2 linked regions of the Caenorhabditis elegans genome follow. The protein of the gene in region 1 interacts with the protein of each later gene in a pairwise test. Each region holds a gene or a part of one and is shown on either strand. Other genes may lie near its edges.

Region 1 (4,468 bases):
GTTCTTGGCCAATTCAGTTCTTGATTTAATTAATTTCAGTGAAAAAGCTAGGGAAGTTGGAGAAGCTTTACTTCCAGCTTTCAATACACCATCTGGAATTCCAAAAAGTAATTTGGATGTAGCATCAAAACATGCAAGTAACTATGGATGGGCTAATGGAGGACAATCAATTCTTTCCGAAATTGGAAGTCTTCATCTTGAATTCCTGTATCTCAGTAGAATTTCCAATGCTCCAATTTTTGAGAAGAAAGTGAAGAAAGTGAGAGATGCTCTTGAAAAAGCTGAAAAACCTAATGGACTCTACTCAAACTACATTAATCCGGATACAGGAAAATTCACAGGAAGTCATATGTCCCTTGGAGCACTTGGTGATTCATTTTATGAATATCTTATCAAGAGTTATGTTCAATCAAATTATACTGATACGCAAGCTAAGAATATGTATTGGGACGTCAGTGATGCTATTCAGAAACAGTGAGTTCTATTGTTCTATTTCTTTTTCCAACAATTTTCATATTTTCAGCATGATTAAAGTTTCCAAACAATCAAATCTTACATACACAGTTGAGTTGAACAATGGTCAAGCTCAACATAAAATGGGACATCTCGCTTGTTTTGTACCTGGAATGTTTGCTCTACAAGCCATCAACGAGGATACTGAAGAAGAGAAATTAAGAATTATGACATTGGCGGAAGAGTTGGCGAAAACCTGCCATGAAAGCTATATTCGTTCCGAGACCCACATTGGACCTGAAATGTTCTACTTCAATGAACGTGACGAAGCAACCAGTAAACACTCGGAAAATGGATATATTCAAAGACCAGAAGTCATTGAAGGATGGTTCTATTTATGGAGATTAACTGGAAAAACAATGTATAGAGATTGGGTATGGGATGCTGTTCAAGCTATTGAGAAGTACTGTAGAGTTGATAGTGGATTTACTGGTCTACAAAATGTTTATAATCCTAAAGCTGTAAGTATCTGAACTTGTGGGCTTTTCTGAATATTTCTGAATTTCAGGGCCGTGAGGACGTGATGCAATCCTTCTTCCTTGCCGAGTTTCTGAAGTATGCCTATTTGACGTTTGCAGACGAATCACTGATTTCACTCGATAAATGGGTATTTAATACCGAAGCTCACCCGGTTCCAGTCTTAACTAATTAGAATTTAATTTTTATTATCTTTTTTTTGAACAACTGTGATTTATGGTTTGATTGTATTTAGAACTCACGAGGTTTTTATTGAAACTTGTTTTTTATCTTCCGAACCAATTCCGCTGTTTTTTGGCTTTTCTTCCCCCCATTTGACCACGGGTTTACCGGTGTCTTGCTTTATAGGTCAACCGTTGTTTTTGTTTTTATAACTGGTTCATATTGATTCTAGCAATTAAGATAAATGTTTTTGACAACTTTTGGACTCATGAGAAAACCAGGAGGATATGTAGTCGCTACAAGTTACAATTTTTCCAGCTTTTTCATTTGATATTAAAGAATAAGTGTATGCTATTTCATATTCTATACTGTACAAAGAATGCTAGTATTCACTATAAAACATTTAGCGCAGGCTGGTTACAAGATTTTGCCAGCAGACGACAAATCTCCACAATGTGAAAAAGTTTTAGTAAACTTTTCAAGAGCGCCCCGAGGACATCTGAAATTCCTTTTCACTAAATTTATATACAAAAAATACATTTTTTCTTGCAGATGAATCATTTCTTTTGTTTCTCAACTTGACATACGAATATTTTTCATAAATTTCATTCTCCCGCGTGAAATGCTAACGCGCTCTATCAGACAGACGACACGCGACGCGTCCGGCGACACTGAAAAATCATCAATTTTCAAAAGAGATTCTCATTTCAAAGCTTTTTCCATATTCATTTCTTCTAAAAATATTTGTTCGTTTGCAGAAAATGCCAGATCACCTTGGAGATGACATGCGCAAAACTAAAAAAGATGATACCAAGGAGGAAGAGAAGAATTTCCAGGGTATGTGGATATCGTTCAGGAAACTAATTCTGAAAATTGAATTTAGCTCTCGACGAAGGAGACATTGCTGTTTTGAAAAGATACGGGCAAGGTCCATACGCGGAACAGCTCAAAACATTGGACGCGGATATTGAAAACTGTCTGAAGAAGGTATTTATTTCATCGTGCTCCTAATTTTATTTCATTGTTCTACAGGTGAACGAACTTTCTGGAGTGAAAGAATCAGACACCGGGTTGGCTCCACCAGCTCTATGGGATATTGCTGCTGATAAACAAGCAATGCAGCAAGAACAGCCTCTCCAAGTTGCCAGATGCACAAAAATTATCACCAGCGACAAGCACGATCCGCGTTACTTGATCAACGTAAAACAGTTCGCTAAGTTTGTTGTAGACCTTGCTGATTCCGTTGCACCTACTGATATTGAGGTTTGAAATTGTAATTAGATTTCACACATAATTGAAAAATGATTCAGGAGGGCATGAGAGTAGGAGTAGACCGTAACAAGTATCAAATTCATCTTCCGTTGCCCGCCAAAATTGATCCAACCGTCACAATGATGCAGGTTGAAGAAAAACCAGATGTAACATATTCGGATGTCGGAGGCTGCAAGGATCAAATTGAAAAGCTTCGAGAAGTTGTCGAGACTCCACTTCTTCATCCCGAGCGTTACGTTAATCTCGGAATCGAGCCACCAAAAGGAGTTTTGCTCTACGGTCCACCAGGAACAGGAAAGACGCTTTGCGCTCGTGCCGTTGCCAATCGAACAGATGCTTGCTTCATTCGTGTTATTGGATCAGAGTTGGTTCAGAAATATGTCGGAGAAGGAGCTCGAATGGTTCGTGAGTTGTTCGAAATGGCTCGTACCAAGAAGGCATGTCTTATCTTCTTTGATGAAATTGATGCTGTTGGAGGTGCTCGTTTTGATGATGGACAAGGAGGTGACAATGAAGTTCAACGTACTATGCTCGAGTTGATTAACCAACTTGACGGATTCGATCCACGTGGAAACATCAAGGTTTGTCTTTAATTCTTTATGGAAATAACCCAAAAAAATCTGTAATATAAATTTATTTATCTCTTGCTTTCTTGAAGGCAGTTTATATCATTAGTTCAGTCCTTTCATCCAAAAAAAAAGACACACATTTTTCGTTTGATAAGTTTCCAAAAAATTAATGCTTACATGTATTGTAAATATGAGTGTTTCATTAAAATAATTTGATATTTTCAGGTGCTTATGGCAACAAACAGACCGGACACTCTCGATCCCGCTCTCATGAGACCTGGTCGATTGGATCGTAAAGTCGAATTCGCTCTTCCAGACCTTGCAGGTCGTGCTCACATTCTCAAGATTCATGCAAAACAAATGAGCGTTGAAAGAGATATTCGTTATGATTTACTTGCTCGTCTGTGCCCAAACAGTACAGGAGCCGAAATTCGCTCAGTCTGCACCGAAGCTGGAATGTTTGCAATTCGTGCTAGAAGAAAGGTGGCAACTGAAAAAGATTTCCTTGAAGCTATCAATAAGGTTGTCAAGGGATATGCCAAATTCAGCGCCACTCCAAGATATCTGACACATAATTAATTGTACCCTATTCGGTTTTCATTCTCTTTCCGGTCCTCGATTAACTTATTTTCGCCCGTCCACCCATTTTTTTTTGTACAGATTCCCCATGTCTCCGATTTTTGTCTTATTTATTACATCCTATCGTCGTGAGATGCACCCAAGTTGGCCCAACACTGTCAGATGTATTCGTTTCGATTTTATGGATAAATGTGATTGGGTTTCTGACTATTAAAACTTGTATACACCAGTTTAAATGAATCTGAAAACGTGCCATAAAACCTTTTCATAAGAAGAGTAGTAATCTAAACGCGATTACGGTGTAATGCCAGAAAAAGTAAGAATAGAAGAAATTGGCAAGCGTATTTTAATGGTACTAATATTGTGCACACTTTACCTAGGAATATATTTTTCATCTCTACAATGTTGACTAGCGCCCTGAATGCTCCAAGGATACTGTTTTCCAACTAAATGTTCAACTGTTCAGTATTTATATTCTGCCTCCTAGAGGCGTTCAAAAATTGCGTATGCCACCCATGTTTCAGGGGACATCGCGGGCAATTGGGAAAAGTTTTCAACCAGCAATAAACGCACCTCGGCAAAGCCTCATTGGTCACGTTATCGCCCCAGCGCAAAGCTAAATTCAGCAGCTCACTCAGCTGATCCTATAAAACACAGCAACCGACAAATCGCGGCTTTCGCGCACAATGGTGCTTTCTGCATTCTGTATTCTTCGGAATGCGGCGCGTGTGCGTTGCGGTCGTCTTTTTCGAATTGCAATCGCTCGCGGTTTATCGGAGTCTCTCTGTTTTCTTGAAACGAATCTCTTCCCTTCGATTAAAACTGCATAAAAACTAATAAAAATCTCAAAATTGATTTTTCTTCTACTTTCTTAAGATCTGTAAAGTTTCGTTCCT
Region 2 (4,436 bases), on another chromosome or scaffold:
ATCAGCTTCATCATCACCTCCAGTAACATTCAAGTATATCCGAGTGAAGGATCAAAAAGGACAACAGAGCACACCAGAGCTCGTTATTCCTGGTAAACAGACTATATGCAGATATAATTTTTAATCTGTTTATTCAGGCGCTCCTGCCATCAAGAAACATGCCATGTTGAGCGACAAACGACACGTTTTGACACGAGACTCGGATGGAAATGTGGCGCTATATGATGTTTTAGCAGCAAGAAAGGTTTGTCCCCATTATTAAAAGTTACTACTTGAATTTTGATAAAATTTCAGATAAAAGATTATGGAAAGCGAATATTTGAAGAAGTTGTCGATGAGAACTCTAGGCAAGTATACATTCCAAGCTGGTTTGTCGTTGATTCAAAAAGTGGAGTGAGTTTTAAGTTTTATAAATTTTTGAAAAATAAAACCCTATTCGATTTCAGATGCTCCAAATCACTTTGGACGAGCTGGACGCTCTCTCCTCGTGGCTTTCATCAAAAGACGCAGGTTTTGATGATAATGATCGAGAGACAAAACGTAAGATATTATACGAAAATAAAAACTTTCTCATTCCTTTGTAAGAAATTATAGTGAATTACGGTGGAATGATGCTACGATCACTCTTCGAACGATGGCCACCTTGTAAAATGACAAATGTTGATGCAGCTGATGCAGATGATGTGCAAAAAGCAACACTGAATTTTATTTCTCTACCGGAACACACACCGCTTATTATTTGGTAAAATTATTTGAAGGCTCAAATTTTAAACATTAAAAAAACTAATTTCAGCGAAGGAAATGGTCGTCCGCTCTACCGTCTTCTTGTTGGCGACGCTGGGAAGGAGTTCGAAGCAAATGAGCTGGCACAAATTGCACCCATGTGGGTTATAGACGCAATCGAACGAAATCAGCTGCCGAAATTCAATAAAATGCCATTTTATCTTCTTCCACATCCGTCGACAAATCCCAAACAGCCTAAAAAGTTTGTGAAAACGCGGGGTTCATTCATTAAAATTTTGAACTATTTTCAGAGATCGTCTGTCAGCAACTGAAATGCTTCAAGTTAAGAAAGTGATGGAGCATGTTTACGAAAAAATACTCAGCACTAATGATGGTAAGGTATTTAGAAATAAGAAGATATTAATGGTGTTTGAAGATATTACAGTTGGCTCGATTCCACTAAATCAAATTCATACAAAAATGGAAATGTACTGCAATGATCAGAGGTTGGAGCCGGATATGGATTTGCGAACAGTCAAGCATCTCTATTGGAAGCAAAGTGGAGAGCTTCTTCTACATTATAAACCAGTTAAATAGCTTTAACATTTAATTTAAGTTATTTATTTGAACATACTTATCTAACATTTGTACTTTATTGAAAATTCACTGTCTAACTTCTTTTTTGATACGGGTAAAACCGACTTTCAATTAAATTCCATGCTCTTTCCATATGTCTTTCTTTCTTTTTTAAAATTATGATGGTTTAACTACCAGCTTATCTTCATTTCTTGCTTAATATTTTTACCTCCTACCGTATTCGTTCCAGATGGCTAGTTTGGAAGAACATGAAAAACTGATCGAAGTAGGTTTTATTGAAATTTCTTCCAATTTTAAGCCAATTTTTTTCAGGAGTGGAGAAACGATTACATCGCAGAACGCAGTTCGAAAAAGGGATGGGAGATTCTGGAAAAACTTGCAAAGATGCAAATTGAAGCGGCTCAGCAAATGGAGTACGTTAAATGAATATCAGATAGTATCAAAATGAAATTATTTCAGAACAGAAGATGACGTGGCCGCTGCTGATTTTGATGACTTCAGCACCAGCAAGCTTGTAAAATTGATTATTGGAGATATTTCAACCAAAGATCTTCTTGTCGATCATCAGGTACCTGACATCAATTTTTAGACTATTCTAATCTAATAAAAAAAAATTCTAATAAAAATTGTAATATCTCAATCTTTTACAGATAATTCTTCTCGAATTCATTCCATCTGCACATCCGAATATTCTTCGCCATGTAGTCCGCACAGTCCGTGAGAAGGAAGGAGCGATTTCCCTTTTGAAGTCATCATCGGTTGCAATTGGAGTTGCATTTGCTCGAAGAGTTACAGATGCTGAAGCTGGAGAGGAAGTTGGACGTCTGATGGCACACCTCGTGGATCACGACTTGATTAATGAAGAGCTCAAATCGCAGCTGAGTGTTGCCAATGGAAGAGAAAGTTCATCCATTAGAAGTCGTATTTACTCCGTAATTATTTGAATTCTTAATTTGATAATTCATTGAAAAATTGTTCAGATTGCTACTGAACGAGCTCGCATTTCATCTAACACTTCATGCATTCATTGGCTCTACGACAAGATTCTTAAAAGTGTTCTAGATACTCAAGATGTTCTTGCTCAACTGGATGCTTTGGACACTTTCGTTGATATTGCACTTAGTGGAAAACAGAATGCAGAGGCTTTGTACGAATTGGGAATCGTCAAAAAGGTTTGAATTTGCAATAAATTTGTTTTTTTAATGTTATTCCTTTAGATTTATGAGTTGATGGAATGGTCGAAGGAGTCTCCAGATGGTGGGGAAATGTATTTATGTAAGTTACCAGTTCATTCAATTAATATTTAACAATATTTTTATCAACAGACGGAACACGTTTCATGTGTTATATGGCTCGTTCCTACCCACAAGTTCTTAAATATTTCCCTGATCTTGCACGGCGTCTCATGCTCGAAATCAGAATGTTCGATCAATTGAGTGTGGTCAGTCGTCTTGGAGCTTTCGATCATTTTGCCAGTATGTGCTTCTCTGTCGAGGCAAAAGAAACTTTGGAGGATATGTTCAAAGGTATTTTCCAAATTTTTCAAAAGCAAGATATTAAAAATCATATTGTTTCAGATTCAAAAGATCTTGAGAATACTTTGGGAGCTGCTGGTGCTGCATGTACGATGGGAACAATGGAATTGAAGTGTCGAACTCTTCAGGCCGTCACTCTCCTTTTCCAGAATAGTGAGCTTATTTAGTTATGTGGAATGTTTGAAAATTAATAATTTCAGCGACTGAAAAAATTGCTGAAACATGGTACGAGCGTCTCGGTGGAAAAGCATTGACACATGTAGCAGTTGGAAATGTTAAGAAGCCGTTCCCTGAGATGAAGAATTGTATTTATGATTTCTGGCAACAGTTGTTCACATATCCATCAGTTGTTCATCAGTTCATCACTTTCCAGGGGTATGTTAACGACATTTTTATGCGAGATTTTTTATTAAAATTGTTTTTTCTCAGATTCATTGACTGGGCATTGGACGATAAATCAGAAGATAATCCAGAATACGAAATTCGCAAACGTCAAATTATTCATCGAATCATTGAATTGTCGGAGAATACAAAGAGCGCCGAAGTACTCAAAGCTGATCCAGAACTGATTGGCCGTCTCAAGAAATATCTGCAACCGGCTGTTGCACCTGCTCCGCGTGTTGAGGAAATGGCTCTTTAGATTGATCTGTATATCCTGAATCTCTTTGACTATTCAATTTTTTGTTTCTTTTTCATCTCAATTATTCCAATACAGTATTTTATTGCCTCAAAAATGACTTGTTCGCCGTTAATTCATGTTCCGGTTTGAAGTTTTAATGAAATTTATTGATGTAATGTTTTTAATATAAGTCTTTACATATACTCTTGTGTTTGAAATCCCATTTACTTCAATCTTTAACGAGTTTTGAAAACTGAAATGATTGTTTCAAAGCTTCAGCGTCAAAAAATGAAATGCTAACAACGTGAAGGTTAAACGAATTTGCTATTTAAGTAAAACACACTATCGTGTTTCTCGCATTTTCGCCGCCAAGAAAATAAAAATTTCATTTCGAATTGATTTAAAACTCATTCAATTTTTGGTCTCGCCGCGATATAAAACGTTAAAATGTAAGTCAAAAATGTATATCTCTTGAGATCGCTTATTGAGTGGACTTATTTATGTTTGAAAGATAGTCTATCTAGATAGACTAACGTTACATTAATTGGACTTTCATGTTATTTGGACTATAATGGTGCGTCCAAAGTGCATAGAAAAACAATAATTTTCTCGTTACCGCTATTGATCAATTTAAAAAAAGAAGGCGTGGCCAACCCAACAATCCGCTGATTGGCTAGTCACGCCCACTAATTCCCATTTTCTTCACACTATCGACGCACCGCACAATTAGCTGCAAGTTTGATGATTGAAAATTCGGAAAATTTATATTTATTTTTCTACATAGGCTTTCCTCATTGTTCCAACTTCTATGCGTTTATTTTATCGTTCAAAAGATAAATGCATGCTGAATATATAAAGTTTTCAGTACTCAACACAGACTGCAATGCATCGTCAACAAGAATCAACTGCACGAGTGACAGAGCAGAAACGATTGGATGCCGAGATTACCGTAATTGTTTAAA

What was found.
Region 2: the proteins of rpt-1 (region 1) and F35G12.12 interact in a two-hybrid assay, tested with the Caenorhabditis elegans proteins (5 studies listed by BioGRID).

Annotation. Positions count from the first base shown.
Region 1 is NC_003283.11:11,979,840-11,984,307, reverse strand, and holds rpt-1 (26S proteasome regulatory subunit 7), read left to right. Parts: upstream 1-1,910; 5' UTR 1,911-1,913; coding exon 1,914-1,989; intron 1,990-2,035; coding exon 2,036-2,139; intron 2,140-2,184; coding exon 2,185-2,415; intron 2,416-2,462; coding exon 2,463-3,005; intron 3,006-3,218; coding exon 3,219-3,572; 3' UTR 3,573-3,774; downstream 3,775-4,468. Other genes in the region: Mannosyl-oligosaccharide 1,2-alpha-mannosidase mans-2, read left to right, coding at 40-474, 524-974, 1,022-1,165. UniProt on the Caenorhabditis elegans protein: The 26S proteasome is involved in the ATP-dependent degradation of ubiquitinated proteins. The regulatory (or ATPase) complex confers ATP dependency and substrate specificity to the 26S complex.
Region 2 is NC_003281.10:4,580,246-4,584,681, forward strand, and holds F35G12.12 (26S proteasome non-ATPase regulatory subunit 5), read left to right. Parts: upstream 1-1,549; coding exon 1,550-1,585; intron 1,586-1,632; coding exon 1,633-1,733; intron 1,734-1,779; coding exon 1,780-1,888; intron 1,889-1,970; coding exon 1,971-2,252; intron 2,253-2,300; coding exon 2,301-2,492; intron 2,493-2,537; coding exon 2,538-2,595; intron 2,596-2,645; coding exon 2,646-2,846; intron 2,847-2,897; coding exon 2,898-3,008; intron 3,009-3,055; coding exon 3,056-3,230; intron 3,231-3,284; coding exon 3,285-3,495; 3' UTR 3,496-3,648; downstream 3,649-4,436. Other genes in the region: wdr-48 (WD repeat-containing protein 48 homolog), read left to right, coding at 1-92, 138-244, 295-393, 447-540, 595-742, 794-985, 1,035-1,320; F35G12.5 (SPK domain-containing protein), read left to right, coding at 4,358-4,423.